7 linked regions of the Macaca mulatta genome follow. The protein of the gene in region 6 binds, or shares a complex with, the protein of the main gene of each other region. Links are inferred from orthologs where the notes say so. Each region holds a gene or a part of one and is shown on either strand. Other genes may lie near its edges.

Evidence for each region.
Region 1: the proteins of guanine nucleotide-binding protein G(s) subunit alpha isoforms XLas (region 6) and CALCRL are in contact, whole or in part, in a cryo-EM structure (PDB 6UUN), measured with the Homo sapiens proteins. The link is inferred for Macaca mulatta from reciprocal best matches to the Homo sapiens genes GNAS and CALCRL. Residues at the interface, in NP_000507.1 of Homo sapiens: Gln35, Arg38, Ala39, His41, Val217, Phe219, Arg356, Tyr358, Phe376, Arg380, Asp381, Ile383, Gln384, Arg385, His387, Leu388, Arg389, Gln390, Tyr391, Glu392, Leu393, Leu394; in NP_001258680.1 of Homo sapiens: Arg173, His177, Tyr236, Leu237, Leu240, Ile241, Val242, Val245, Phe246, Ala247, Lys249, Ile312, Leu316, Lys319, Leu320, Val322, Thr323, Arg336, Ala337, Ile340, Leu341, Phe384, Asn388, Gly389, Glu390.
Region 2: the proteins of guanine nucleotide-binding protein G(s) subunit alpha isoforms XLas (region 6) and HTR6 are in contact, whole or in part, in a cryo-EM structure (PDB 7YS6), measured with the Homo sapiens proteins. The link is inferred for Macaca mulatta from reciprocal best matches to the Homo sapiens genes GNAS and HTR6. Residues at the interface, in NP_000507.1 of Homo sapiens: Arg38, Ala39, His41, Asp215, Lys216, Val217, Phe219, Leu346, Thr350, Tyr358, Cys359, Phe376, Arg380, Asp381, Ile383, Gln384, Arg385, His387, Leu388, Arg389, Gln390, Tyr391, Glu392, Leu393, Leu394; in NP_000862.1 of Homo sapiens: Arg124, Leu127, Ile128, Pro131, Leu132, Arg133, Lys135, Leu136, Ile211, Gln218, Gln221, Val222, Leu225, Thr226, Lys265, Ala266, Thr269, Leu270, Phe323, Met324, Arg325, Asp326, Lys328.
Region 3: the proteins of guanine nucleotide-binding protein G(s) subunit alpha isoforms XLas (region 6) and HTR1A are in contact, whole or in part, in a cryo-EM structure (PDB 9GL2), measured with the Homo sapiens proteins. The link is inferred for Macaca mulatta from reciprocal best matches to the Homo sapiens genes GNAS and HTR1A. Residues at the interface, in NP_000507.1 of Homo sapiens: Ala39, Asp215, Lys216, Val217, Arg342, Arg347, Thr350, Ala351, Gly355, Tyr358, Phe376, Arg380, Asp381, Ile383, Gln384, Arg385, His387, Leu388, Arg389, Gln390, Tyr391, Glu392, Leu393, Leu394; in NP_000515.2 of Homo sapiens: Asn69, Ala71, Asp133, Arg134, Ala137, Ile138, Pro141, Ile142, Tyr144, Val145, Asn146, Arg148, Ile218, Ala222, Arg225, Ile226, Lys228, Thr229, Lys232, Val233, Asn325, Arg327, Asn328, Lys332, Arg339, Lys342, Thr343, Thr346, Leu347, Asn404.
Region 4: the proteins of guanine nucleotide-binding protein G(s) subunit alpha isoforms XLas (region 6) and GPR52 are in contact, whole or in part, in a cryo-EM structure (PDB 8HMP), measured with the Homo sapiens proteins. The link is inferred for Macaca mulatta from reciprocal best matches to the Homo sapiens genes GNAS and GPR52. Residues at the interface, in NP_000507.1 of Homo sapiens: Lys34, Gln35, Arg38, Ala39, His41, Lys216, Val217, Phe219, Tyr318, Pro321, Arg342, Asp343, Leu346, Arg347, Thr350, Ala351, Tyr358, Cys359, Pro361, Phe376, Cys379, Arg380, Asp381, Ile383, Gln384, Arg385, His387, Leu388, Gln390, Tyr391; in NP_005675.3 of Homo sapiens: Tyr74, Arg139, Ala142, Ile143, Thr144, Pro146, Leu147, Asn150, Gln151, Thr154, Pro155, Ile226, Phe227, Ile229, Cys230, His233, Thr234, Glu236, Ile237, Arg240, Arg243, Phe244, Ser246, His247, Tyr263, Ala264, Met265, Phe268, Arg269.
Region 5: the proteins of guanine nucleotide-binding protein G(s) subunit alpha isoforms XLas (region 6) and GPR174 are in contact, whole or in part, in a cryo-EM structure (PDB 8IZB), measured with the Homo sapiens proteins. The link is inferred for Macaca mulatta from reciprocal best matches to the Homo sapiens genes GNAS and GPR174. Residues at the interface, in NP_000507.1 of Homo sapiens: Lys34, Gln35, Arg38, Ala39, His41, Val217, Phe219, Thr350, Asp354, Gly355, Tyr358, Cys359, Tyr360, Phe376, Cys379, Arg380, Asp381, Ile383, Gln384, Arg385, His387, Leu388, Arg389, Gln390, Tyr391, Glu392, Leu393, Leu394; in NP_115942.1 of Homo sapiens: Phe44, Tyr47, Arg53, Ala54, Val55, Ile56, Phe57, Met58, Ile112, Arg115, Arg116, Phe119, Leu120, Met121, Pro123, Phe124, Phe126, His127, Asp128, Cys129, Gln131, Ser211, Leu212, Asp214, Met218, Gln220, Asp221, Leu222, Glu224, Lys225.
Region 7: the proteins of guanine nucleotide-binding protein G(s) subunit alpha isoforms XLas (region 6) and GPR4 are in contact, whole or in part, in a cryo-EM structure (PDB 8Z9O), measured with the Homo sapiens proteins. The link is inferred for Macaca mulatta from reciprocal best matches to the Homo sapiens genes GNAS and GPR4. Residues at the interface, in NP_000507.1 of Homo sapiens: Gln31, Lys34, Gln35, Arg38, His41, Asp215, Lys216, Val217, Tyr358, Tyr360, Phe376, Arg380, Asp381, Ile383, Gln384, Arg385, His387, Leu388, Gln390, Tyr391, Glu392, Leu393, Leu394; in NP_005273.1 of Homo sapiens: Gln45, Arg49, Asn50, Leu52, Asp114, Arg115, Ala118, Val119, Ala120, His121, Pro122, Leu123, Arg124, Arg129, Arg130, Lys132, Tyr201, Ile204, Ala207, Val208, Gly210, Ser211, Val212, Ser213, Thr214, Glu218, Lys221, Ile222, Leu225, Asn290.

The regions. Positions count from the first base shown.
Region 1 is NC_133417.1:92,305,398-92,309,665, forward strand, and holds the end of CALCRL (calcitonin gene-related peptide type 1 receptor), read right to left. Parts: intron 4,162-4,268; coding exon of another isoform or gene 4,159-4,161; exon of another isoform or gene 3,940-4,158; intron 3,592-3,939; coding exon 3,376-3,591; 3' UTR 501-3,375; downstream 1-500. UniProt on the Homo sapiens protein: G protein-coupled receptor which specificity is determined by its interaction with receptor-activity-modifying proteins (RAMPs). Together with RAMP1, form the receptor complex for calcitonin-gene-related peptides CALCA/CGRP1 and CALCB/CGRP2.
Region 2 is NC_133406.1:221,312,803-221,317,036, forward strand, and holds the start of HTR6 (5-hydroxytryptamine receptor 6), read right to left. Parts: upstream 2,801-4,234; 5' UTR 1,918-2,800; coding exon 1,204-1,917; intron 1-1,203. UniProt on the Homo sapiens protein: G-protein coupled receptor for 5-hydroxytryptamine (serotonin), a biogenic hormone that functions as a neurotransmitter, a hormone and a mitogen. Also has a high affinity for tricyclic psychotropic drugs.
Region 3 is NC_133411.1:71,983,567-71,987,348, forward strand, and holds HTR1A (5-hydroxytryptamine receptor 1A), read right to left. Parts: upstream 2,377-3,782; 5' UTR 1,954-2,376; coding exon 688-1,953; 3' UTR 501-687; downstream 1-500. UniProt on the Homo sapiens protein: G-protein coupled receptor for 5-hydroxytryptamine (serotonin). Also functions as a receptor for various drugs and psychoactive substances.
Region 4 is NC_133406.1:31,926,044-31,930,222, reverse strand, and holds the start of GPR52 (G-protein coupled receptor 52), read right to left. Parts: upstream 2,801-4,179; 5' UTR 2,666-2,800; coding exon 1,580-2,665; 3' UTR 1-1,579.
Region 5 is NC_133426.1:85,571,488-85,574,833, reverse strand, and holds part of GPR174 (putative G-protein coupled receptor 174), read right to left. Parts: intron 2,045-3,346; 5' UTR 1,487-2,044; coding exon 485-1,486; 3' UTR 1-484. UniProt on the Homo sapiens protein: G-protein-coupled receptor of lysophosphatidylserine (LysoPS) that plays different roles in immune response. Plays a negative role in regulatory T-cell accumulation and homeostasis.
Region 6 is NC_133415.1:111,699,117-111,702,335, reverse strand, and holds the end of guanine nucleotide-binding protein G(s) subunit alpha isoforms XLas, read right to left. Parts: exon of another isoform or gene 2,521-3,219; coding exon 2,466-2,520; exon of another isoform or gene 2,333-2,465; coding exon 2,259-2,332; exon of another isoform or gene 2,162-2,258; coding exon 2,103-2,161; exon of another isoform or gene 1,999-2,102; coding exon 1,878-1,998; exon of another isoform or gene 1,732-1,877; coding exon 1,601-1,731; exon of another isoform or gene 1,494-1,600; intron 1,346-1,493; coding exon 1,278-1,345; intron 1,008-1,277; coding exon 861-1,007; 3' UTR 501-860; downstream 1-500. UniProt on the Homo sapiens protein: Guanine nucleotide-binding proteins (G proteins) function as transducers in numerous signaling pathways controlled by G protein-coupled receptors (GPCRs).
Region 7 is NC_133424.1:58,136,292-58,140,254, forward strand, and holds the start of GPR4 (G-prodeshotein coupled receptor 4), read right to left. Parts: upstream 2,801-3,963; 5' UTR 2,652-2,800; intron 1,342-2,651; exon of another isoform or gene 1,087-1,341; intron 41-1,086; exon of another isoform or gene 1-40. UniProt on the Homo sapiens protein: Proton-sensing G-protein coupled receptor activated by extracellular pH, which is required to monitor pH changes and generate adaptive reactions. Activated by an optimal pH of 6.8-7.2.

The sequences.
Region 1 (4,268 bases), on a different chromosome or scaffold from region 6:
TGTGATATTTTGAATTCTCCTTTGAATTGTTGTAACATCTTACTTGTTCCTTCATTAATTAATGAGTTAAACAAAATCTTTGAAACATTTTCATTTTATATTTGTGTGAGAGCCATAAATATGCCCTCTTTAAAAATTACCTTTAAATACTTATTTTTCTTTCTAATATTTAAACAAAACTACAAAATGAAATATAGTAGATAAAAGAGATGAATTTCTGAACATTTTCTTATTTTGAGACATCCTTTTTCTTCTTTCAGCATAAGAAGGAGTTTGCATCCATCGTAGTATATTTGGATTTTTTTAGTTTGGAAAACAAATCATGACTTTTTCTTAATTGGTTTATTGAATTCATTTACTGGTTTACTGAAGACTTTAAGGAAGGCAAAAGAGATATTTTGTTAAGAGATTTGTTAATTTTGAAAAGTATCCCATTGATTAATGTAAGAATTATGTTTATAAATTAGATTATTTGGCACTCTAGTAAATATCAATGGAAATAAACTTTAACTCATAACTTTAATATTTTCATACAATCAAAAATAGAGATATACTCTAAGTAGGCATAACATAAATTGTTACAATTGATCAGAATATCTTGAATATATTTTTACAGATAACTAGTGGTTTCTACTAGCAGATTAAAATCAAGAGAAAATTAAAAGTAAGTTCACATTTTAAAAAATTTATAAGCAATAAATACAGCACTACAGCCACCACTAATTCTATGTACATTGGATTACATTTAAACAAACACTGCATTCAAGAATGAATATTTTATGAATAAATGCATTGGAAATTAACTTTAGGAAAGAAAATGACAAATTACAATTTAGAAAATTAAAATATGACTTTCACAAGTAATCACAGTAAAATGACAAATCTACATTTTAAAAGCTAGAAATTCCCCAAATTTATTTTTTGACAGCAAAGAAGTTTGCTTTAAAAAAGTGTCAGATTTACTTTGCTTTATGAGTATGGTACAAAGGTATTAAGTAGCATTCAGCTTTTGAGGAATCTAACATTTAAAATTATTCTAAAAATATATGAATATAAAACTAACAGTGATTAAACATGAATGACTGCTACTCCTCAAGACTTTACAACAGATAAACCCTGGCTATAAAATAAATCTGATCTAGAATTGATATTATGAAAGCACAACAAAAATACTTGAAAATTACATGTTCATTTTAATATAATCTCTGATAATTCAACATTTTTTAATGTCTACTGTCAAGATGGTTGACTTGACAGTTTGTCTAGAAGAAGGCTGATATATGTCAACATGGTCAGCAAAGGATTTAAATATGGGTCTTTGAATAATAAATAGCTAATAATTGAGTTTATTGAAATGAATTTTTGTATAATGTAGGCAGTTAAAGGTCCAGAACAGCCTGCATTCCTTTCTATGGCAGCTCGCTATGAAATTCATGTTTGAAACAAAACAATACTTTTTCATGCATAAATTATGAATGTACTGACCAGACCATTCTATATGTTAATTCTTACTCATTTAGATAATTTTTCTTAGCAATTTCAAATAAGTTCTGAACTCACCATCTATTGACAGCTTAAGAAACAACTTATGATGAGTAATTCATTAGTTTCATCCATTTTAAGCAGATTGACACACTTAAAATAGAGATACACATGATTTTCCCAAAATTGACTTTTACTAATTGAAGTCATTCTTGTTCTTCAGAGATTTCAGTGGAAAATAACATTAGAGAAACTGAATCCCATATAAATTTCACTTTAGTTCATTAGCAAGGTTTTCTTCTATCTTTATTTAATAAGGTCTGACAATAATTCAATAAGATCTGACAATAATTTTTTCTCAATGATATATTCAAGTATTTCCCTGATTTGTATTATATACAGTAGCTCTATTAAAATATTAAAGCATTGTATATGATATATATTGTGTCCCTCTATTTTTTTATATTTCTTGAATAACCTGGGACATTTCCAAAGCTATGTATCTTCATATAGTGAAAGTCAGTAAAGTAATATTTTAATGGGGTAAAATCTATACAAGTAGCAGATTGGTATTTATCACAGTAGTTGTTTAAAATTTCTGGATTAGAATGTGAGTTCATTGTCAAAACGAAAAAAGAAATATGTCAAACACACCTATTATTAAGGTATGAGTCATCAAAACAAATATATTCAATAAAATAGTGACCTTGTGTTTTTAAAATAAATATATCTTATGATAGATGTTTCTGTTCTCTTAGTTCTCAGACTTCTGATGCTGGCATCTGGTTGTCTTTAAAATAGTCACCAAATATAGAATTCCAGACTCTATTTTATTTAAAAAATCAGCCCAGATACAGTATCAGATATTAACATGCACACATTGTTGCATTATATATTTGCTTTAAAAATTACCTAGGTTGTATGTATTTGATTTGAGACTGTAAAATAAAATAATGGAGTATTTACACGCTCATTTCTCACAATTTCTTTTTACAAAATTCCAAGAAAATAAGAAATCCTTCATTGATTTTCCTTATATAAAATGATTGCTAATTTGTTTCTACAGTAGAAATGGAAGGGACAAAATGTATATTTACAGGTACGAATTCCCTCCCACTGTGTGGTAAAACAGGAAGAAGTTGACAAGGTGTTCTGTAGCATCAACTAAGATGTTTTCTTAATGATATAGAAGTAGGATTGCATATTATACATCCTGTTCATCAAATTTCGACAATGGATATGCCACAAGATATAACTGATGTGTCAGCAAATGAGTAGATCGTAACAATTATACTCAGTTGCTTTTCATAGAGAAAAGAAAGCCAGCAGGGATAATTCACTTCTGGTATTGTCCATTTGAGAGGGTCATTACAAAAAGGACTACAGCACTCTCTGGGCAAAATAAAATGTCAACTGCCCCAATCAAGATGGGATAAAGAGTTTTAAAACTAAAAGCTAATTTTCCCTTCATGTCTATAGGCCTTCACTAGGTCTCTTGGGGCAATAAGGGTAGAATCATGCCCAACATGTATATTTACTTTTACAGTCATTTGTTTGTGAATTCATGCAATGGTGTGCTGGAGCTGGCTTACACCAGCTCAGAAAAGTTGATTGTGCTTTTCTCCAATTCCACACTTGGTGATGTCAGGTTAGTAGTGTCACATCAGGCATAGTGGGAGTATTTACTGGCAAATATTACAAACCAGGATTTCTTTTTTCCCACTTACAGCTAGATATTACACTCTTATCAACACACTACCAATTTCATGTGAGGCTTTTCTTTATGATATTCAAAAAGCCATTTAATATTGAAGTCTTCTGGCTTTAGAGTCATGGATCCAAGTCCTTGAGTTAGGAGTGGCACAAAACAGTCAGACAACCATCCTTCTATTTTCAATTATATAAATTTTCTGGTTTTAAGACAACATTTTCAATATCATGGATGCTTTTCCCATTTAAGTGTTCACTAGGACAGTCATGACTATAACCTGGACCGTCACTGATTGTTGACACTGTGTAAGACGCACTACGAAGAGCTTCTGAGTTGGAAAAGCTGTTTCCAAATTGGATTTTGTATTGATTCCAGTTTCTTCTCAGAATTGCTTGAACCTATCAATCAAAAAGAAACAGAAAGAACAAGAGCAACCCATTAATTGAAATGAAGACATTGTTTTTGAAGCACAATTAAATAGGTCTTGGAGAAGAGCTTTTTTAAAACAAGTTATGTTAATTAGTGAATAATATAGCTTCATTTTCTTACTTAATTTAAAAAATTAAGTTAAGTGTACCATCTTTACATTAGGAAATGTATTACAATTACATCGTACTTTACATTCCATTGATATTTTTCATGCCATGTTTTGTCTTCAAAGCTTTTATAATGCGTATGTATTCGTTGTTGCCAAACAAATAGGTAATCTGGACCCCCATTTACAAGATTTCATGTACAACATCAAGTTTTATATTAATGTCTTTATTAATAGAATGAGAAGACAAATCGTAACAGGATTAGAGAAAGATATACAAAAGAAAAGAAGTTAGGATACGAAGAATACAAATCATCATCATCAGCAGCAGCAGGGCAATAGCAGCAACGTTTGTTTTTGAGTGATTCCCATATGCCAGAAATTGCGCTACATTCCAAAAAAGGGAGCATGATATTTGTCCTCATGGAGCTTACTACATAGAGGAAAGAAAAGTGTTGAACAAATAATTATACATCTGGTGAATATTGTGAAAAATAAATTTAGGAATGTAACCACTCCACTTTTACATATTTGAATCCT
Region 2 (4,234 bases), on a different chromosome or scaffold from region 6:
GGACCTACTATGCACAGTGGGGATCAAAACTGACCTGAATCAGGAGTTCAAGACCAGCCTGGCCAATATGGTGAAACCCCGTCTCTACTAAAAATACAAAAGTTAGCCTGGCGTGGTGGTGGGTGCCTGTAATCCCAGCTACTCAGGAGGCTGAGGCAGAAGAATAGCTTAAACCCGCAAGGTGGAGGTTTCAGTGAGCCAAGATCACACCACTGCACTCCAGCCTGGGCGACAGAGTGAAACTCCGTCTCAAAAAAAACAAACAGAAAAACAAAACAAAAAAACTGACCTTGATATGTGTGACCCTCCTGGAGCTTATATTCAAGTCAGGGAGGCAGAATGAACAAGTCATTCTTATGACTTGTTCTTATGGAGAATAACAGGGGAGGGTAGATGGGCCTGCAGATAGGGTAGTCAAAGATGTCCCCTGGGAAGAGGGCAGCCGGGGGAAGAACATTCCAGGCACAGGGAACAGCGAGTGCAAAGACCTGGGCACAGAAGTAAGCCCAGTGCCTTCTAGAAGCATGAGAAAGGCTACAAGGCTGTTGTAGAGTAAGAGAGAGGGAGAGTGGAGGTGACACTGGAGAGGTTGGCAGTGCCGGATCCTGAGGCCAGATCCTGAGACAGGTTTTCTTTATCTGGAGCACAATGGGGAGCCTGAAGTCTGAAGCAGGGGAGCGACATGATCACTTCTTTTTTAATTGCTCCGGCTTCTAGGCAGAAGATGGAGAGTAGTGGGTCTGCAGCAGAAGCAGTGGAGCCAGTAGAAGTCTACGCAGCCTCCCCAGTAAGAAGTGGCAGTGGAGATGGCACCTGTTTAGAGGCAGCACCAATAGGTCTCGCTAATGAATGGCATGAGGGTTAAGGAGAAAAGTATTTCTAAGTTCCTGGCATGTGATGCCGAAATGGTGCCATTTGCCATGATGGGGAAGACCAGGGAAGCAAAGATGGGGAGAGTTGGGCCACCATAAATTCCCTGTTGTACATAGTGCCTGGGAGAAGCCTGCCGCCTATCCTGACGGAGCTATCCTGTGCTGGGTGGGTCAGGCATTGGGTCTGGAGTTCAGAAGAAAGGTGGGTGCTCACAACTGCCACGCAGGGCCATGAGCAAATGTGTGCTAAGTGGGGATGCCCAGGGGGTTCCCAGGGGCTGCTCATTCCTCTGCATCCCACAGCCCAGGTCTTCCTGCATACCCCGGGTACCTGCAGTGTTTCCGAGGCCTGGCTGGCCATGCCGGTGGTGAGGGAGGCCACCTGCACGGCTTGCTTTCGGGCAGCCAGCAGGATCCTGCAGTAGGTGAAGCATATGGCACCGGAGGGCAGGAAGAAGGTGAGGCCCGACGCCACGAGGACGAAGGGCAGGCTGGCCAGCAGGCGGCACTGGCCCGGGACTGGGGGCCGTGCGTGGCCCAGCTCGTGCCAGCCCAGCAGCAGGGGCAGGAAGGAGGCAAGCGCGGCGAGGCTCCAGGCGCCCAGGACTAGCGCCAGGGCACGCGGGGGCGTCATGCGCAGCTTGTAGCGCAGCGGCGAGAGGATGAGCAGGTAGCGGTCCAGGCTGATGAGGCAGAGGTTGAGGATGGAGGCGCTGCAGCACATTACGTCGAAGGCGGTCCAGAGCAGGCAGAGGCCGCGCGCCAGCACCCAGCGCCCGTATAGCGCGTTCAGCATGGCCGGCGGCATCACCACCAGCCCCACCATCAGGTCGGACGTGAAGAGCGACACCAGGAAGAAGTTGGACGTGTTGCGCAGCGCGGGCTGAGTGCAGATGAGCACGATCAGCAGCGAGTTGGCCGCCACCGTCAGCGCGATGACCACGCACAGCGCGGCCGCCACCCAGCCGCTGCCCCCCGGGGCCGACGGCGGCCCCGCCCCCCAGGCCGGGGTGCTATTGGCGGTGGGGCCCGGCTCTGGGACCATGGGGACCGGGGGTGGAGGGTAAGGGCGTGATAGGGTGGTGGGAAGGCAGGTGAGGGCCCCGGCGAAGCGCAGGCTGGACGGGCACCGTCGGCGAGAGCAGACAGCGACTCACCACGCCCCCCGGGGGAGGCGAGTGGGGAGACATGGGCGGGGGCACTGGGTCGCGCTAGGTCAGGGGGCAGCGACCACAAGAGGACGCAGAGTGGCTATTTGGGCGCCCTCGGGAACGGGGCAAGGACACCTGGAGCAAACGGGTTGGAAGTTTGGGGAGGGGCACCCGATGAGCCGAGGCCCCTAAAGGAAGCGGCGGGAAGTCAAGCAGATGTCGGATGGGCGCCCCGGGGTGGGAGCAGAGAGTCCTGGAGGGGGCGGGCGGCAAGATAGGGTAGGGGCGTCCGGCCGGGGCAGAGCTCGGGGAAGTGGGAGCGCGAGGAGGTGGGCGCGGGGGGTGAATGGGCGCTCTCGGGCCGGAGCAGACTCCCCGCGGCCGGTGGGCGTGTGGGGTGCCAGCGTGGGGTCTGCAGGGCGGGGGCCTAGGGGCCGGAGCAAAGCCCCCCGGGGAAAGGCAGGTCTCAGCTGGCGCGGAGGCACCGGGATCGGGCTCACACTGCGCGGGGGTTCGCCGGGACCTCCAGGCCCCGCGGGAAGCGGAGGGCAGCGGCCGCGCGGCGCCCCCTCCCCACCCGGCCGCAGGGTCGCCTCCGCCTCCCGCCCGCACTGGTACCTGGGGCGCTCTGGCTTCTCCGCCGCCTGCGACTGCGGCAAGCGCCGCGGGGCTGCGAGAGGAAGAGGCGGCCGCGGGCCGGGCGGGCGGCGGGCCCGGGTCTCCCGAACCCGGGAGGCGCCGCGAGGGGCCCTCACGCGCGGAGGAGCGGCTGGGTGCAGCCCGGAGCGCGCGGTCTCCGCGCCGCGGAGCGTGCGTCCCGCCTCCCGGTGGGCGGGGAGAGCCGAGCCCTGGCCCTGCAGGCGGGCGGGGTCCCAGCACCCCGGGCCTGTGGGCCGAAGATCCGAGCGCCCCAGCTGCGCGGGGTCACCTTCCGGGCTGCGGCAGCCCCCGCACTCCCAGATGCCCCTCCCAACCCACACGGGGCGGCGGCGCAGGCGGAACTCGGAGAAGGGGGCTGTGACCTGCCTTTATCCAGGGACTGCTCCCTAATGGGTGCCTGCCCACTCACAAGGGGGTCACCAGGCTTTCAGGGGAACCAGGAGTTGGGAAATATTGGACAAATCGCCTGACACCTCTCTGGGCCTCAGTTACCATAGCTGTAAAATGGGTTAGTAATTCTGGGCATTCTTCATCGTTAGTTTGATCAAGAAGCTAACCTTTCCCTGCAGAAACCATCCCTATCGCCAAAGGGGCCGGGTACTAAGGATGAAGTCCCTGAGCTGTTGGCGCTCCTAGTTTAACAGAGCGTGAACAGATTTGAGAATCCCCAGGCCAGGTGGGTTAGAGTCTCTGCAGGCAGAGGCCTGGGGTGTTGTTTCCCCTGGTTGTGACCTCCCTCTGTATCTCTCCCCTCTGGCTGAGAAGAGTCTGCCTAACACTGCTGTGCAGGTTAATACTGTGGACTCTATTCATCCATTCGTTGAACAGATATTTAAGGCGCATCCACTAGAAGTCAGGCACTGTTCTGACCCATCAGGACCCTACAGTGGCCAAAACAAAGATCCGCACCTCCATGGAGCTTACATTCTAGTGGAAGGAGACAGACGATAAACAATAGGCATAATCAACATAGAAAGTGGGCCGGGCGCGGTGGCTCAGGCTTGTAATCTCAGCAGTTTGGGAGGCTGAGGCGGGCGGATCACCTGAGGTCAGGAGTTCGAGACCAGCCTGACCAACAGGGTGAAACCCCGTCTCTATCAAAAATATAAAAATTAGCTGGGCGTGGTGGCGGGCACCTGTAATCCCAGCTATTCAGGAGGCTGAGGCAGGAGAATCGCTTGAACCCGGGAGGCAGAGGTTCCAGTGAGCCAAGACTGTGCCACTGTCCTCCAGCCTGAGTGACATAGCAAGACTCTGTCAAAAAAAAAAAAAAGAGAGAGAGAGAAGGAAAGAAGGAAGAAAGGAAGGAAAGAAAGAAAAGAAAAAGAAGAAGAAAAAGTAGTATAAAGAGAACAGGGTGGGATCATTTTTTCTCCACAGAAACAGAAAAATAATACTTCCCACATCGAAGGCTCCTGCGATGTCCCCAGGGGCTTTCCTACTCCTCCAGTCATTTATTCCCATCCCCACAATAATGCTGAGAGGTTCAGAGAGGCCAAGGGCCTTGCCCCAGATCACCAGCAGCAAGTGGTGAAGTGGAACTGAAACTCA
Region 3 (3,782 bases), on a different chromosome or scaffold from region 6:
GTTGTGCACTGCACGAGAGAGTTAATCTCAAGTCTGCGCGAAGACAGGGAATCCCAGGGGCACCGCTGGCACTGGGAAATCAGCCTCTTCCGCCTCTCTGGACCAGCAGATTCGTGCATAAGGATGGGCGAGGGCAGAGAGGGAAGCAATGAAAGAAAATAAAAGATAAAAATAGGGAGGAAAAGGTGAATATTTCAAGTGCCAGAGGGCGGGAGAGATGGAGCAAATTCCCGAACCTCAAGTCCAAGTTCTAGAAGTTGGGTGATAGGGTGGAGCTCCTTAGTGGGCGCGGCGGCTGTGTGTACAGTTTATTTATTTTTTAGTTTTTGGATTTTCTGCCTTGAACAACTAAGGATTAAACATCTACCGCAAAGATTTAGGGGGTAGAAGAGAGAAGAGGCAATTGCTGGGATCAAAACTGATGCTAAAGGCAAAGTCTGAGCCAATGTCGCTTCTCACAAACTGAATTTTCTGGGCTCTCACGCCCCGACGCTGGGTCTCCTTTGCACAAAGCGCCCTGCGCTGGAGCGGGAAGTGGGGAGGGGACCAGGTCCGCAAGCCGCGGGCGGAGCAGAGAGACAGAGAAGAAGTGGCAAATTATCTTAAGTGTTGATTCCCTAGGGTTGGGGGAAGCATAGTGAATGGGGCAGATCCTGTAGCCCCGACTGGCCGGCTACTCCTCCGTCATCACTGGCGGCAGAACTTACACTTAATGATCTTCTTAAACGCGTTTTGAAAGTCCTTGTTGAAGTATGCGTAAATGACCGGATTAAGCAGAGAGTTGGAGTAACCCAGCCAATTGATTATGGCGCCCAACAGCGTTGGCATGTGGCAGCTGCTCTCGCAGAAGGGCAGAACAAGAGCCACGATGAAGAAAGGAAGCCAGCAGAGGATGAAGGTGCCCATGATGATGCCCAGCGTCTTCACTGTCTTCCTCTCTCGGGCCAGGGCCATCTTGCGCTTGGCATCGGCGTTGCGCTCATTTTTCCTCTCGAAAGAGGCGGAGGCACAAGGGGTAGAACCAGCCTCGCTGGGCAGAGGCAAGTGCTCTTTGGAGTTGCCCACTCGGTGCACCTCGATCACCTCTAGGGCGGCGCCATCGTCGCCTTGCCTCACCGCGCCATTGGCGCACAGAGCACCCCCTGCCTTGCTCTCCACGCCCAGCCTCCAGTTCCTGCCCCCCGACTCTCCATTCACGCTCTTCTTGGGCTGCGGGGTGGGAGATGCTCCATGACGGGTGTCGGCTCCGGTCTTCTCCACCTTTTTGACCGTCTTGCGGATGCGGAAGCGCGCAGCTCGGAATATGCGCCCATAGAGAACCAGCATGAGCAGCAGCGGGATGTAGAAAGCTCCGAAAGTGGAGTAAATAGTGTAGCCGTGGTCCTTGCTAATGGTGCATGCGTCGGGGTCCGAGCGGTCTTCCGGGGTGCGCCAGCCCAGCATGGGCGGGATAGAGATGAGGAAGCCAATAAGCCAAGTGAGCGAGATGAGCGCAGCGGCGCGCCGGGGCGTCCTCTTGTTCACGTAGTCGATGGGGTCCGTGATGGCCCAGTACCTGTCCAGCGCGATGGCGCACAGGTGCAGGATGGACGAGGTGCAACACAGCACGTCCAGGGCGATGAACAGGTCGCAGGTGACCTGGCCCAGTGTCCACTTGTTGAGCACCTGATACAGCGCGGCCATGGGCAGCACTAACACCGACACCATGAGGTCGGTGACCGCCAAAGAGCCAATAAGATAATTGGCCACGTTCTGCAGGGAGCGCTCCAAGGCGATGGCAGCCACCACGCACGCATTGCCCAGCACCGCGCAGAAGATGAGCGTGCCCAGCAGCAGAGAGGTGATCACTTGGTAGCTGGTCACGTCGGAGATACCAGTAGTGTTGCCGCTGGTCTCAAAGGGACCCGGTGGTGATGTGGTGTTGTTGCCCTGACCAGGGCTGAGCACATCCATGCCTGCGCGCCGGTGCGGGAACGGGGAGGGAAGAAAAAGCAGCGCGAAGATCCGCCTCGCCCCTTCCCCTGTGGTCTTCCCCCCCCGCCCCCTTCTCCTGGGAAGTTTCGGAGGAAGGGAATGCAGGCACCCAAGCAGGAAGTTCTTACTGCTTCGGCGAAGGTATCTCTGAGGAGCAGCTTTCAGGCGCTCCCCCGGCTCGCGCAGTCCAGCGCGTTCAGAGGCACCAGCTGGGAAACTGGAGTTGGCCTGAAAGCAGCTCCAGGATCTCCGGGCGGCGGAGAGGTGGCTGGAACGTCTGTCTGTCGCTGTACATTTTACTTTGCCGCTCCCAAACTGGCTGCCGGAGGAGCTGGAGTCTCTCCTCTAGCAAACAGTCTCCAATCCCAGAAATATCTAGAACGGAGAAGCCCCATCCTCCACGGTCACTCTGTGACCCTCCTCTCCCTGTTTCCTTCCTTCCCTCTCTCCCCCTCTCTCCTCCTCTCTCTTCTCTCTTTCTCTTCTGCCTCTTTCGACCCCCTTCTCCCCACTTGCCTTCCCTTTCAGTCTCGCTCTTCCTCCTCACTTCCCTTTATTTATCCCTCTGTGAGTCGCTTCGAAAGCCAGGCTCCCTCCCTCCCATTCTAACCCTCCCCAACCCCAACCCCAACCCCGAGGAGTGCCTCTTTCCTCTGGGTCCCCGCCCTCCTCTCCCTCAAGCTCAGCGTCTTTGCTTTCCAGTCCCTTTTTGTCAACAGAGACTCAGAACTCACTTACACACACCGGATCCCTGTCGGTCAGACCAAGGTTATAACAGATAAACTCCTCCTCCAATCCAGTCAAACTGGGGAGGGGGTATTCGAGGGGAGGGAATTCCGACTACTCATTGCCTCATATTCTCTCTCAAATTCTTAAATCGTGTCAGCATCCCTGAGTGGCAATAGGAGATGAGTAAAGGAAGCACAGGGAGCCTGAATGGGAAGGTGAACAGTCCTGGGTCAGTCTCCCAATAATTGCTAATTGAAGGAAGAAGACGGAGTGTGTCTCGTTTTTAAAAAGTTACCTCCCTCCGTTCTCGCGCCACTGCACTCCAGCCTGGGCGACAGAGCGAGACTCTGTCTCAAAACAAACAAACAAACAAACAACAACAAAAACGCTACCTCCGTTATCATCTAACAGTCAGACCGGATTCCTTCGGGGAGGATATTGCCTGTGACATTTTTTTTTAACCTTGGGGAACTAGGAGAGAACGAAATTATAAAGGACGTGTCAAAGGACAAGGAGAGGTAAACAACTGCAACTCGAAATGAAGAACAAAACTCAATGTGATATATATTCTAAACACACACACACACTTTTCCATCACCACTACACTTGTAATTTCAGTGACACTGTCACTTTGTGGCTAGCAAATTCAGGGATGGAAATATTTTGCATATGTGTTTTAAGAGAAGCCTGGCATTTTATATGGCCGTTTGCACTTCCTACCAGAGCCTGCAAACCTCTGGGGGAAACTTGGTGGAATCCCTGTTCGCTAGCCGGCTAGCCTCTCCTATTCCAGAAACTGGGTTCAGCACCTGGGACAGCTCTAAGCAATAAGGGTTTATGTCGCCACCTTCTGGCAAATGTTTTAGAGTGCCGTCTAGAAACCCTTATGCAGAAATAAAGCAAGTATTGAGGAAGTACAACTTCTTCTAGAAAGAGGAAGACAGTTATTAAAAGAAAAGGTAGCATTGAGTTTTGTCTCCTTCCTATTTTCTTTAAAAATTGGTTTTAGTGCCCTCTTTTGCTCTGAATTGCTCTGAAACATATTATTATATGTTTTAGCTTCCTTCGAAAGCCTGAAG
Region 4 (4,179 bases), on a different chromosome or scaffold from region 6:
AGGCAAGAAACTTATGGTAAAAAAGTTATATTTAGATGTTTTACTGCTCATACCTGCTTCACTAATTCCCCAAAATGCTACTTTGCTATATCTAAACCCCTGATAATTTATTACACAATCCCATGTAGCACGCAAAAAAATAAGTTAATCTCTGCATTTGAAAACAGATCATTACAAAAGAAAATACTGTCAGCTCTTACCTGTATTTGATAATTAAGTATATTATATTATCAGCAGCACTAAAAATGCAGCTTTGTCTAATATAAATATCTAAATAACAGTTACACAAAAGTATTTTTCTCTTAAAATAAGTTTTTATATATACTTTTTCCAATGTTGACAACTTAAACAACATTGATCTATATATTTTGCTAAGAAAACATTAGGCACAGATAACATAATTTACATTTTCTTTGCTGTAAAAAATATAATATGTGCAAACGCATATCACACAAATGACTGACTAGTGGACACAACAGTAAGCTATCGTAGACCTAACACAAAAAAGATTCATGTTTTATTTTATTTACTTATTTTTTAAAAGGGCATTCTAAGTACCCTTAAGAGTAATGCCTCACTGCTAGGTGAGTATCCTGCATTTGCATTAGAATTACTAGTGGGTTTCTTAAAGAAAAACAAAGCTTTACTATAGCAAAAAAAGACATCACTTTTAAGCAGATGAACTAATTTAAAAGGAACCAGATAAAAATGTTTCAAAAAGCCATTAAAAATATTTAATAAGCTACCAGATTGCTTTGCTGGAAGAAATACATTATTTAACATTATGGATGCTTTATACAGTAGATTCTTTCAATAGCTAAGACACTTCTAAAGTAAGGTAGCAATGGATGCAGATCAAGAAAAAGAGACAAAAAAAAAAAAAAAAAAAAAACAGGAGACTGTTAGGAAAAGGGGGAATAGCAAATGTCATTTCACCCAGAAGAAACAAAAATAGTGTTTCTATTTGTTTGTAGCAGAAAAATTGTGCTGCAGAGAAGATTCTAGAAACACAAGCAAAGGGGTTGTTTGGCAAGTAATAAAATGCAATGCTTACTGTGCATCCTCCATGAAGAGATCACTTATGGATTGTAGATTAGTGTGATTAAAGGTACACTTTGATGCAAAAATTATAATTTGCCACATATATAATATGTAGCATTTTTCTATAAAGGGTAATTTATGTAAGTAATAACTTCCACAAAGAGTGAGAGAAACAGACAAAGTGAGAAAGACAGAGGCATGGTACAGTCAGACAGAAAGACAGAAACGCCAAGCCAAGGAGCTTGCTCATGTCCTGCAGAAGATTTGAGATATTATTTTTCATCTCAGTGCTTAATTTTTCCTATTACTGCACACAAATACTCACATGCTGTAATTATTTCATGAGATAACCCTCTATACATCCTTCCCTTTAGTTTCTTCCATGAAAAAGAAAAAAAAAGAGAAACCTTTAGTCTCATACTTCATTTTATAGTCAACTATTCAAGTAAATATTTCTCTGATGGCAAATTTCCAGATGAATCTAGAATATGATCCAAAACCACTGTCAGATTACATTTGATTTACTATGTAGCTCTCTTCAAATGGAGCAAGAATTAGCCCGTTTCCTAGGTTTGGGGTCTTGTGCTTCCTGATCCTTGACACACATACAGGATGTGCACATTGTCTCAGACAGTCTTCGGAGGCCTAGCCGGAAAACGCTGTTGGAGAGGCTGTATATTACACAGTTACAAAAACTATTACTTATTGCAAGCCAGGTTGTTAAGAAGGACAGAGTTGGATTATCCAAGACCCGGGAGCTTTCTAGAAGAAAGTAAATTATATAGGGGAGCCACAGCATATAAAATACACTGGTTATCCTAAACAAAACCATGGCGTAGCGACGGTCAGGGCTGTGTCCAGTCTCTCTGGAAGAATCTACCTCATGGCTAGGGAATCGGGCTCTTCGGTCATTTATCTCTTTGGTGTGCTGACGGCAAATTTTGAAAATGTGGAAGTAAGTGAAGCAGACAACAAAGGCAGCAGGAGCATAAAGTAAACAAACAATAAAGCCAGTAAAATAGGCACTAGTGAGCCAAGAGGTGGCACACCATTCAAAAATGTCACCGTGGTAACCAGGTTTCCCCCAGCCAAAAAAGGAAGGCAAGAAAATTAGGCAGGAGTAGATCCAGATCAAAATAATGCAAATTCTCAGGCGACAAGGGGTGACCAGTTGATTGTAGGAAAGAGGCTTGGTTATTGCAAGATAACGATCCACACTGATGCAAGCAAGACATGCCATAGAAACACTTTTTAGAACTGAGATGATATATCCAAAAACCTGGCAAGTCAATGACTCGTGGACACCTGTGGAGTAGTGGAGAAGTGAGAGAGTAGGAACCAAGCAGCTAACTCCAACGAAAAGATCAGCATATGCCATCGTCTGAATGAAATAGCTGGTAGTATAATGATGTAACAGTGGAGCACAATGAAAGACAAAGATAACTGTTAGATTCCCAGCAATGATCAGAAATGTCAGCAACACAATAACCACTGTCTCGAAGATGCAGACATCCACCACACTGTAGTGGCCAAATCCAAGTGGGCAGGAGTGATGCTCGGACACATTCACAATGCCACTGCTCATGTTCAGGATCCTCCATTCAGTCCACCTGGATTCATTCATGGCTTGGAATGCAGACTTGGCCACTGCAAGCAGGTGCCCTGTCCAGCATCTGTTAAACACCGCACACGAGTGTTTCAGAACCTGCTTCAGTAGACAATGTCAGTGCTTCTGTCACAGCTGAGAGTCCCAGAGAGTGCTCAAGTCTCTTCATCAGCCTCAGTTCAGCAGTGACACACCTCAGCTTTCGGGCGGGGGGTGGGGGGGTGGGGGGTGGAGAGAAGGGAGAGAAGGGGGTAAGCTAGAAAGGAGGTGAAAAGAGGTCACTAATTAGTTTCCTTTGCCCTCAAAGAACTTTTTGCAGGCATAAGGTACTTCTAGAGAAAATAGACTTATTATCTTGCACTATGAAAAATTAAATCTGTAAAAAGAAAAAAAAATGAATTGCCAAAGGAAGAAAAGCTTCTGTGGGCTGTTCTCCAAGAGAGGCAGTTTCTTAGGGAGCAACTAGAAAGAATGAGAAAGGAAAACTCTTAAACCGTCTCAGGCTTCCTGCTTTATCTATGATGAAAAATGCATTTGTATTTTAGATTTTAAATAATTAAGACCTCAAATTTGGTTGAAAAGCTGAGAAAAAGTTCATTGTGGAAAAGAGTGTCTTTGGGCTTAGTTCAGGGATTGATGTTGGGGGGTCAAATTTATCATCTATTTCTCATTTTTCTAAAATCTAAGAAAAACAACTCTATCAAAGTTAATTTGAAGATTCATCTCTACATGGGCAGAACAGAGGTAACAGACTACAGATTGCCGTATAACTCTCATGAGAAAAAAGTATTTTCCAATAGAAAAGATAATATACAATGAATTAATGAATTAACACCTGGCAAAATATAATAAACTTCTGAAGTTTTAATTCTGCATGCATTTTTAAAGCATTTAGATGAAAGCAGTTTTAGTTCATTACAGTTACTGGTGGTACTAACAGCAATGTAACTTATACCTCTTCCTTTTCAAAATGAAATCATTTTTGATATTAATTTGGCATCTATAACTTAAAATAACATTTGTTATTTGATATACCACATTCCTTATAATGGAGCATGAAAATAAAATATGTAACTCACAGTTACTTTTCACCTTTGCAACTGTACACCCATATCTCACATATCTATATAAATGTAAAGTTAGACAATAATAAAACTTTTCAATACACTCTGAGCTTATTTGACCAGAAATGTTGCCATTATTTATTACTTAGGTATTTCTAATAGGCTTCATATTCTATTTTGCTATACCTTTTCTATTTTTGGTAGATGATTAACACATTAAATCATTACTTCAACTATATCTTCTGAAAGTGGAAAATTACCTTGTTTATTACATTTGCAGTTATGTAGCAGCCATATGTTAAAAAATGCCTCTTCTATTTCTGTATTCTATTTTGAGCAACTGCTCAATTAACACAGGGGCCATTAGGTAGGTTGCAAGTTAGTCTTATTTTAAAATACCTCTAAAGTATCAAGATGAGTTTAAATCCTAGAGTTTGAAATATTGCAAGGCTGGCAGGATAGAATCCA
Region 5 (3,346 bases), on a different chromosome or scaffold from region 6:
ACACAGGGTAATATATCATCCATCCCACTAAAATATAACCAAACATACGAAAAAGGCATGTAAACTGTGATTACTAATATAAAAAGACACCTACATCTCCTCTGAATATAAAGACTCAGTATCTGCTGTAACAAAACTGAATGCTTATGGTGACTCCAAGCTAATACTCTTTTTGTGCCTGAGGGTCACAGGTAAAAGTACTGACTAGAGTTGAGAGCATATGTTTGTAGGATGTCACAGAAATTTGATATTTTAAGATTTACAGACTTGATGAAAAATTACTACATGGATATGTCAACATCAATAATGGTGGATCATAATGCTCCACATAGGTCCTGCTTTGAAGAAGTGAATTCCCCACAGCAGTAAAATAGAGCAGAACTGAAAAGCTGTGTTTTTTTGTGAGTTCTTCCCCGTGGCTTGGGTATTTCAGATATGTTCTGAGGTACTTGCATTTCAGGTCATATTCAGCTTGGTTTTTCTTTTAGCATAATTCAGTTGTCACAGTGGAAGCTGTATGGTTACTCACAAAGGATTTTGCATGGAGTTGGATGCTGTCATGCAAATCTTGTCTTGAAAGCCGTCTTCGGAACTCATTAGTGGAAAAGTAGTATATGACTGGGTCAAGACACGAATTCAGACTAGCAAGACACAATGCCACAGAATGAAATATTAGAATCACCCTTCTGGCTAGGCAGCTTTTAATTTCATTGGACTTCACCAGGAAATCTAAAGGAAAACTGAAATGATAAGGTGCAAAGCAAATTAGGAATACCCCCGCACAGGTTAGAATCATCTTCAAGGCTTTCTGTTTCTCTCCAAGATCTTGGGCCATGGGATATTTATCTTGCAGTGATAAAACCGTCTTCCAGGTACAATACAGGACAATCAGAAGCGGAGTTACAAACCCAATCAACTCGCCAATGGTCATCATAACAACGGACTGGGCCAGGTTGACATTCCTGGTAGGAAGATCCACAAAGCATTTGGTCCTATTGCCAGGGGTATCATCACTGGTTCTGAGGAGTGGGAAGAGTAAACAAGCAAGGCAGATGATCAGCCAGCCAGCAATGCTGATGTACAGGTCATATTTCTGTTTGCAGTCATGGAAGCGAAAGGGATACATGAGAAACCAAAATCGTCGCACACTGATGCAGACCAAGAAGTAGATGCTTGCATACATGTTGACATACTTCAGGTAGAAACAGAACATGCAGAGACCAGGCCCAAATGGCCAGTCATGATTCAAGTAGTAAAAGATCCTCAGTGGCAAGGAAAGAACTTGTAGTAAGTCAGCAATGGCTAAGTTTATCATAAATATCACAGCTCGTTTTGTTTCTTTCATATAACCATAGAATACCCACAGGGCTAATATATTCCCTATGAGACCTGGCACAAGAATGACAGTGTATGTCACTGCATAAATAAAGTAACGAAGATCTGTATTGTCTCCATCTGGCCCGGTACATGTGTAATTAGCAGGCATGATTCTCTCTAGAGAAACTATCTTTGCCTAATGGTGGTTCAAAACCTAAACTCACAATCAACTGCTGTTCCTTCCAAAAGATTGCTTGCCAGTGGGTTGGAGATACCAAGTATAAAATAACCTTCCTTTTTTTTTACCACATCAGCCTGAGTCTCTACATATTATTCAAGGATTTTTCAAAGAACTATCTGCATTTTTTATTTAGATTTCTCTAGAGTAACTACATGAAAGTCTAGTGTACAAGCACAGATGACAAGCTGTTACAATTTCCCTCTTGTTTATTTTAAGGCCCTCTGGGACATCATGAGAGCTGATTCTCTCCCATTTGGAAAAGGAATGTACCATATAGCAGTTCCTCAAATTCCTATATGATGATAGCCTTCTCTTTACAGGTGTCTGGCAGGCCGTTTTTCTTTTTTTGGCTCACATAGAAGAAAGGATTGCTTTAGTGCACAATGAATCCGCCACTCTTCAGGGATGATTAACTTGGAAAGATCAGCTTTCTGGGACTTTTTCAGCTATATGTCAAAATCTAAAAAGTAGGAAACAAAGGCAGAGCTGCAAGCAAAATAAAATAAGTCAATTATTTCCTGGCCCAGCTTTGAAAAAAAAGAAAAGCCTATGTTCAGAAAAATACTCTAGTTTGAATGAAAAATTCTTATGTAAGGGAAGGGTATATGGTGCAGTTTCTACAAGGCACTTTATAATCACAGAAAAATATAGCTTGAAAGAACATGAGAAGTAATCTAGCCCCTTGTTTTATATAAATATATATATATATAATTTATATAAATATAAATTAATTTATATTAGTAATATAAATCAAAATACATGAACGAATGACACTTGGGAGCTTGTTACAAATTCAAAATCTCAAGCGTCACCCTGGACCTGATGCCTCAAGATCTGTGTTTTAACAATGAACTCAGATGATTCTTCTGCGTGTTAACATTTGAGAAACTATGATTTGGATTACTGCTTTACTAATCTTACTGATTATCTGAATCATCTGGGGAAGGTTAAAAAATAAAATAAAAGCTTCTGGGTGTTTCCTCCAGAGATTCTGATTGAGTACTCGTGGGGTACAGTATGCCATTTGTATCTTTTCAAAGCTCTCCATTTGGTTTTGATATAGCGAGCCCAGCATTTGTCCTTGAACCATCATTTGATCAAAATCATTCCTATATGTCTAAAAATAAGTGGACAACCAGCTTCTCTTTAAATAATCCCATTTACTGGAGTCATTTATTCACCTCTTAATTATCTGAGACAGCAGATATAGCCCCAGAACAGAGAATCAAAATCCATAGAAAGTTGACTCAGTTGGGTCTATGACCCTTGTTCTGAGGTAAATAAAGTTTAGCTTAGGTGACTGGATAGTTGCCTCAAGGCTACTGAAATCTAGGAGGACTTAACTAACTTTAAAGATATGTGTGGGAAGAACAAAAATGAAATGGGAATTATGAAACATCCTGCTTTGAATGATCAAATCCATGTGGTTTGAAGTGTGCTTCATTGAGCCCCCGAACAAATTATTATTGTTATTTTACTTCAATTTCATGGTAAGTGAAACAGCACATTTTGTTTACATTTTAGGTTGTGAAGCCCTGTCCAGAAACCATCCCATCACAGGTAACAAGCAACCACTTGCTCAAAATTCAACTTTATATTACAGTCTGGTTAGGTGCACACTTTATTAAGCCCAGAAAAAGCAGACCTAGTGTGCTGCAAGTGACTGCAAATGATGTGAAACTGAATAGCTCTGTGCACGTATATCAGAGGAAATTGTACCATTATGACACATGAGTAATCACAAGTTCTGGACAGAAGAGAACAGAACAATTTCCTCCTAATTCTGAT
Region 6 (3,219 bases):
TTCATTTTGGTGTGTGCAATGAGGTAGGGATCCAGTCTAAATTTTCCCCAAATGGCTACACCATTTCTTGAATAACCCCATTGATTTGAAACGCGGCGCTCCTGTATTTCTCCACATCATTTAGTCCCTATCTTATAGCAAAAAATACACTACTTTTCTTAGGAAGCCTGGGTCAGCAGGCAAACTGTGTGATGATGTAATGGCATAAGTTGGCAGAATCTTTGGATAGGATGGCAGTGATCAAAATGTAGAGGTGACTGGGGCATAGTGGTCCACTATGGGGTAAAAGTTTGGGAGATCAACAGGAGTGGACTTTTCCTATTGTCTGAAAATTATTTCAAGACACCTACATTTTACAGTCACCAGAAAACATACAGTGGTGAGATTTTATACCCACTTCACCTTGGGGCCTCCCAACTTTTGATGTAAGGGCCAAGTCAAACCATGAATGACAGGAATCTGCGCAGAACCACAAATAACTCACGGGAGTCCCATCATTCTTTGCTCACATTTAATTTTTATTTTGATTTTTTTTAATGCTGCACAACACAATATTTATTTCATTTGTTTCTTTTATTTCATTTTGTTTGTTTGCTGCTGTTGTTTTATTTATTTTTATTGAAAGTCAGAGGGAACTTCTGTGGCCTTTTCTCCTTTTTCTGTAGGCCGCCTTAAGCTTTCTAAATTTGGAACATCTAAGCAAGCTGAAGGGAAAAGGGGGTTTCGCAAAATCACTTGGGGGAAGGGAAAGGTTGCTTTGTTAATCATGCCCTATGGTGGGTGATTAACTGCTTGTACAATTACGTTTCACTTTTAATTAATTGTGCTTAAGGCTTTAATTAAATTTGGGGGTTCCCTTCTTAGAGCAGCTCGTACTGACGAAGGTGCATGCGCTGAATGATGTCACGGCAGTCGTTGAACACACGGCGGATGTTCTCAGTGTCCACAGCGCAGGTGAAGTGAGGGTAGCAGTAGTGACGCCCATCTCCACTGGCAGTGCTGATCCTCTGCGGGTACAAACGCAGGGACTCGTCAGTGACACCCTCGCCAGGAACCACCCTATCACTGATGGGGACACCTACCAGGGACGGCTGTTGGCCAGTCTCTGATGTCATATGAAAACGAAAGCAAAAGGAGGGGTGCAAAGAACTCAAATCCACACTGGATGTGCGTGAACTAAAACCATGGACCTGGGTAGCTGAACCCCTGAAGTAAATTTACATCCATGAGAAAAAGAGGAGGAGCAAGAGAGGAAACTAAAGACAGGCTCAACTCACCAGAAACTCATCTCGAATGAAGTACTTGGCCCGGGTCACGCGTGGGTCCTCTCCGGGCTCGGGAGTAGCTATAAAAAAAAGGGAATATATATTAATGTAATTAAAAAGTCAAGCAGAGCTGGGGTGCTAGCATCATTGTAGCTCCTGAAGTCTTCAAAACCCTGATTTTTCCATATGAGAATTAATGCAAGTGTGTTTTTCTTGCTTCTCTTACAGATGCTTTATGGTTTGGTGGTGGGAGGGGGATGGCGGCTTTCAGCCCTACTGTTTGAAAAAGAACCACTGCAATGAACAGCCAGCAAAAGAGTGGAAGCCATACACACCATCCTCAGGAGTAGTGTAGCGAGCAAATTCTGGAAAGTAGTCCTCAATCTTCGATTTCCCAGCAAGGACTTTCTCAGCGAGCAGATCTTGCTTGTTGAGGAACAGAATCACAGAGATGGTGCGCAGCCATCTACAAGAAGGGAGGCCGTGTGAATGCCCGGGAGAAGCGCGCTTTTGGCCAGGGGTCTGGAATGCTTGCACAGGGTTCTTTTCTACAAACAGTGCAGACCAGGGCCTCCTGGGCAAGCGCAGGGGGTGGGCGGTCACTCCACAAACCTGTTGTTCCAGATGCTCTTGAAGAGGTTCAGAGCCTCCTGCAGGCGGTTGGTCTGGTTGTCCTCCCGGATGACCATGTTGTAGCTGCTGCTGGCCACCACGAAGATGATGGCAGTCACATCTTAACCAAAGAAAGCAAAGCCAAGAGCGTGAGCAGCGACACTGATCCCTAACAACACAGAAGCAAAGCGTTCTTCACGAACAGCCAAGCCCACAGCGTCCTACCATTGAAGCACTGGATCCACTTGCGGCGTTCATCGCGCTGGCCACCCACGTCAAACATGCTGGTGGAGAGGAAGACAGCTGGTTATTCCAGAGGGGCTGGGGTAAATGTCAAGAAACCATGATCTCTGTTATATAAAAAGGTAACAGTGGGCTTACTGGAAGTTGACTTTGTCCACCTGGAACTTGGTCTCGAAGATTCCAGAAGTCAGGACGCGGCAGCGAAGCAGGTCCTAGAACAAAATTGAGGTCAATGGATCTCAGCAAAGCCAATCGAAATAGTAATAATTTCCAATCTAAAGCAAAAGTCTGGGGTAGTTTGGGAAGAGGGCTCAGGGTCCTCTGGTGGTGAAGGGTTTTGCACACCTGGTCGCTCGGCACATAGTCAGCCTGCTTGATCACATCGATCTTGTCCAGGAAGCTGGGAGAAAAAGAAAGGCACATGGGGTGTTCACAGCGTTCACATTAATTTGCCAACTATTTGTGTCTCTCTACAAGGTCAGGCTCAACGGAAGTGACCGTCCCACAGTTATGCAGCACTAAGTCAATGGCATATTTGCTTGTGTGTTGGTTACATTTATAACTCAAAGCTGATGCCTTAAGAAAGTTAGGCCAAATGGGATTTAAGATAAATAATTTTAGGAATCAGGGAACTCTAGATGCGTCTAGCAGCTAGCCTGCGGCCTCGGTGCAGTGGGGCCACACAAACAGCACAGGACAGTGGTGGGGCTTTGTTCTTCATGTTTATTTTTTTCTATTTTTCTTTTTTCTTCTTTACTTAGCTTGTTTATTCCTGTTGCTCTCTGGTAATATTCTTGATTTTTAAAAGGTTTTATGCATATCAACCAGTAGAGAAAGGACCCCAAAACCAGGCTGACCTATCACAATCTGTGCCATTTGGTAATGCTTGACAAAAACATTTCAATTTTCAAATTTCCTGCCTAAAATGGCAGTTTGAAAATTGTATACCTCTGTATCATTCAGTTAAAAAAATAAATAAATAAAGTGACATTCTTAAAAACATCAAGGACTTTCTCCTCAAGGGCACATGAGATTGTTTTAGTTACTGAGAATCTGTAGCCCTTCCTTTTCACTTTTTAAGAATCTCATTGATTAAAGG
Region 7 (3,963 bases), on a different chromosome or scaffold from region 6:
CTTCCCCCAGCAGCCCCAGGGGACCGGCCAGCTCCGGTCTGCTCATTAGGGACGAAATGTGATCACCGGTCCTCGCTCCCCACCTGGTGCCCTGGCGGCCGGCGGAAACCAGGGGGCAATCGGGCCACCCTAACCGCCCCACTGCACCTCAGTATCCCCGTTTCAACCTAGGGGGTCTCTGTGTCCCCCACGCCCACACTGCCCATTAGGGATACCAGTCCTTAGACTGCCTCTCTGACGTTCTAGGTCCCTACGGTTCTGCAATCTTCAGGTTCTATCCTTAGTTCACTTCGCAGTTGAATGTTCTATTATAACATTCTAGAGCATTACTCTTCTTTCATTCTATTTATTACATCGTGGCTTTGTAAGTACCTACCCTAAGTTTCCAATATTCTAGGAGTGTCACATTCCAAGATTCGAAAGTTCTATTGTTAGAACATGCTATGATTTTTTTAAGCATTCTATGACTTTCATAATCTATTATTAAACCGTCAGTGATTTTTATCTTTCCCCAGCAAACAGGAATACGTATTTCCCTTTTCTCTTTTACAGAAATGGGAACGTACACTAAATACAGTGAGCCCCACTTCCTTTTCTTTCCCCCCTTCTCTCGCCTGCTTTTGAACATTCCAGCAGCCTGATTTCTAAGATTGTGCAGAATTCTAAGAAACTATGGATTCACAGAGCGAAGAGAGGGGCATGTTAGTCACCACCTCCACCTGGTTCCTAAATTCTCACCACCTGGGGGTGACATGAGATATCCAGGCCTCCTCTCTACCCTTTCCCTAGTGGGCCTAGCCTCAGCCCTCCCCGCTCACACCAGCTGAGTTATTATTTGTCTAGACACAAACCAAATTATAGGCCCTGTCCCCGAGGGAACGGTGGGCTCCAGGCGGAGGGTCAGGAGACTGAAGCTGGAGTTAATCCCGGTTCCCCTCCACCTCCCTCCTTCTCTTCCCGAAACTCCACCCCTTCCACCCAAACCAACTCTTGCCCCTCTCCCTCCCCACCACCATGGTTTTGGAAATATTTTCTCTCCTCTGCTTCTAAAACCCTCTCTTCTGGATTCCAGCCATTTCTACTCACCCTGGCATCTCTCCCTCCTCATTGAGAAGACCTCTTTCCCCAAATTAATCCGGCTTAGTGGTAGAAGAAGCAGCCAGCTCTCTGGATTTGGGCTTCGGTTGAAAACTGGGGTCCCAGCCCTCCAGCCTGGCACTGACTCACTGTGGGGACTTCTGCTCTTGGGCCTCAGTTTCTCCATCTATAAAATGGGGTGGGGGGAGTTGGCCTAGGTGGCTCTGCAAACCCTTTCCAACTCTCAGCTGCCATCACTGAAATGTGCCAAGATTTCAACACTCCTCTTTTTGGATTGAAGGACTCCAGTATCCCCAGGACCTTTCATTGGAAGGATCTGGAATTTCCAGGCCTCCCCTCTGATCCTTCTTCCATCTAGGCCCTTCCATTAAAAGATATTCACGTTCAAGGTTCTTGATCATATGATTCCCAGGGTTCCGGGGGCCCCCATGGGTCTCTTATCCTCTTCAGCTGGGATTCCCCCAGAAAAGAAAACCTCCTCATCCTCACCCCAAACCTGAAGTCGAGTTCATCTACAGAGACAGATCTGGGGGCGGGTGCCCCCTTGGTGGGTTCAGGAGGAGGGGTGCTGATGATGGGCTCTGGAGGGGGCACTGGGGGGTGTGGCCCCATCTTCTCCACTTCTGCCCCAAATTCCCCAATGCACATCCAGCCCGAGTGCGCACACCCACATCCCACAACCGATGCCTCCCAGACATTCTAGGGCTGTTCCTCAGCCTAGTTTGGGAGGAGGGGTTGTCCAGTTCCCCGGGGGGAGAGTGAGGCGGAAGCAGGAAAGAGTTAACGGTGACCCAGCCAAATCCTGGAAGAGAGGAAGTAGGCGAGGAAGTTCACCCCCCAGCCAGGAATTCCTGAAATTGGCGGGCGGGGTGGGTGCGACTTCAGGGGCAGTGGGGTGGCTCCGGGAAGAGGGCGCTGGGGTCAGGGTGTCACTTTGAGTCCTCCTGCCCCAGGTCACAAGCCTCCTGCCCTCTACTCCCAAGCAGCTTCCCAGCCCAGAGGAAAGTTCCGGGATGCGGAGGATTTGGAAGGAGAGAAGACAGAGCAGAAGGTGCCAAAACAGGGTTATAAGAGACGGAGAGACAGAGACAGGGCAATAGAGAGAGACGGAGAGACATGGAGGGAGAGAGCAAAGAGATATACAGAGACAGGGAGAGATGGAGATAGAGGCAGACACATCCCCAGAGGTCCCACAACAGATGGGGGAGAGGCAGAGGCAGGGACAGAGGAAGGTGGGACCCAGAAACAGAGAGACAGAGACAGACGGAGACAGACGGAGACCGGAGAGGCAGAGATCAAGAAACTGACAGAGACATCCAGAGACACAGAAAGAAAGACAGGTCCAGAGGCAGAGGGACCACAGACACAGAGACACAGGCGGGAGTTGGAGACAGACGCAGAGCCAGGGAGAGCAACAGAGGGGGCGGGCGCCGAGACGCCGCGGGAGACTGAGGCAGCCCCAGAAGGGGCGGGGAGGAGCGGTCCCGCCAAGAGCAGGGCAACCTAGTGAGACCTCGCAGCATCGCGGGGGCCGGGGAGGGCCCGGCACTCACCTGCGCGCGGCGACTGGACGGGGCGGGCGGCGGCACCTCTCTCGGCTGCGTCCGGGTCTCCGGTCTGAATGACGGCGCGGGGACCCAGCGGATGCCCCCGCGGGGCAGAACAGCGGCTACTCCTCCCGGCCCCCGGGCCTGAGCCGTCAGCTGAGGCCCCGCCCCGGCCAGGCCCGCCCCCATTAACCCCACCACTGCCGCTGCCCCTTAACCCCTTTCAGACTTCACCCCATTCAACACCTCCAGCCCCGGGTGAGGCTCATCTGCTGCTGGAACACCCACTAGTCCTTCCAAGTCCCCAGCTGGAAGGTCCCCTCTCTCGAACCACACACCCCCAACTTTATCAGGCCCTCAGCTATGGGAAGAGGAGGCCCCCGCTACTGACCTTCCCTGAGTTGAGCCATTTCCTCCCGTAGAGACCCCAGGCCTCAGTCATTCATCTTCTGGCCGTTAACCTTCTGCATCTTCCGCCGGTAGGAGGGGGAGAACAAAGGGTTCTGTTAGGTCCCCAACTCCAAAGTCAGGGCCACCCCTAGAAGGAGCTCTGGGGTTGCACTTCCAGCCTGCCTCTTGGTCAGACCTTAGGCTAGTGACATCTCCGTGCCCCAGTTTCCTCTTTGAAACAAGGTGGTCACTCATGGTGCCTGCTTGCTTCCTTCCTTCTTTGCTTTGCTTTGCTTTGCTTTTTTCTTTCTTTTCTTTCTTTTGAGAGGGAGTCATGCTCTGTTGCCCAGACTGGAGTGCAGTGGCACAATCTTGTCTCACTGCAATCTCCACCTCCCAGGTTCAAGCAAGTCTCCTGCCTTGGCCTCCCAAGTAGCTGGGATTACAGGTGTGCACCACCATGCCCGGCTAATTTTTGTATTTTTAATAGAGATGGGGTTTCACCATGTTGGCCAGGCTGGTCTCGAACTCCTAAGCTCAAGCTATCTGCCCACCTCAGCCTCCAAAAAGTGTTGGGATTACAGGTGTGAGCCACCGTGCCCGACGTCTTTTTTTCTTTTGCCCAGTCTGGAATGCAATGGCACTATCATGGTTCCCTGAAGCCTCAACCTTCCAGGCTCAAGTGATCCTCCTACCTCAGCCTCCTGAGTTGCTGGGACCACAGGCATGCGCCACCACAGCTGGCCAATTTTTAAACAATTTTTTTCTACAGACAGGGGTCTCACTATGTCTAGGCTGGTCTCAAACTCCTGGGCTCAAGCCATCCTCCTGCTTTGGCCTCCCAAAGTGCTGGGATTATAAGACTGAGCCACCGAGGCCGGTCATCATGGTCCTTTTCTCTTGGGGGTTTCATTTCATTGTGTCAGTG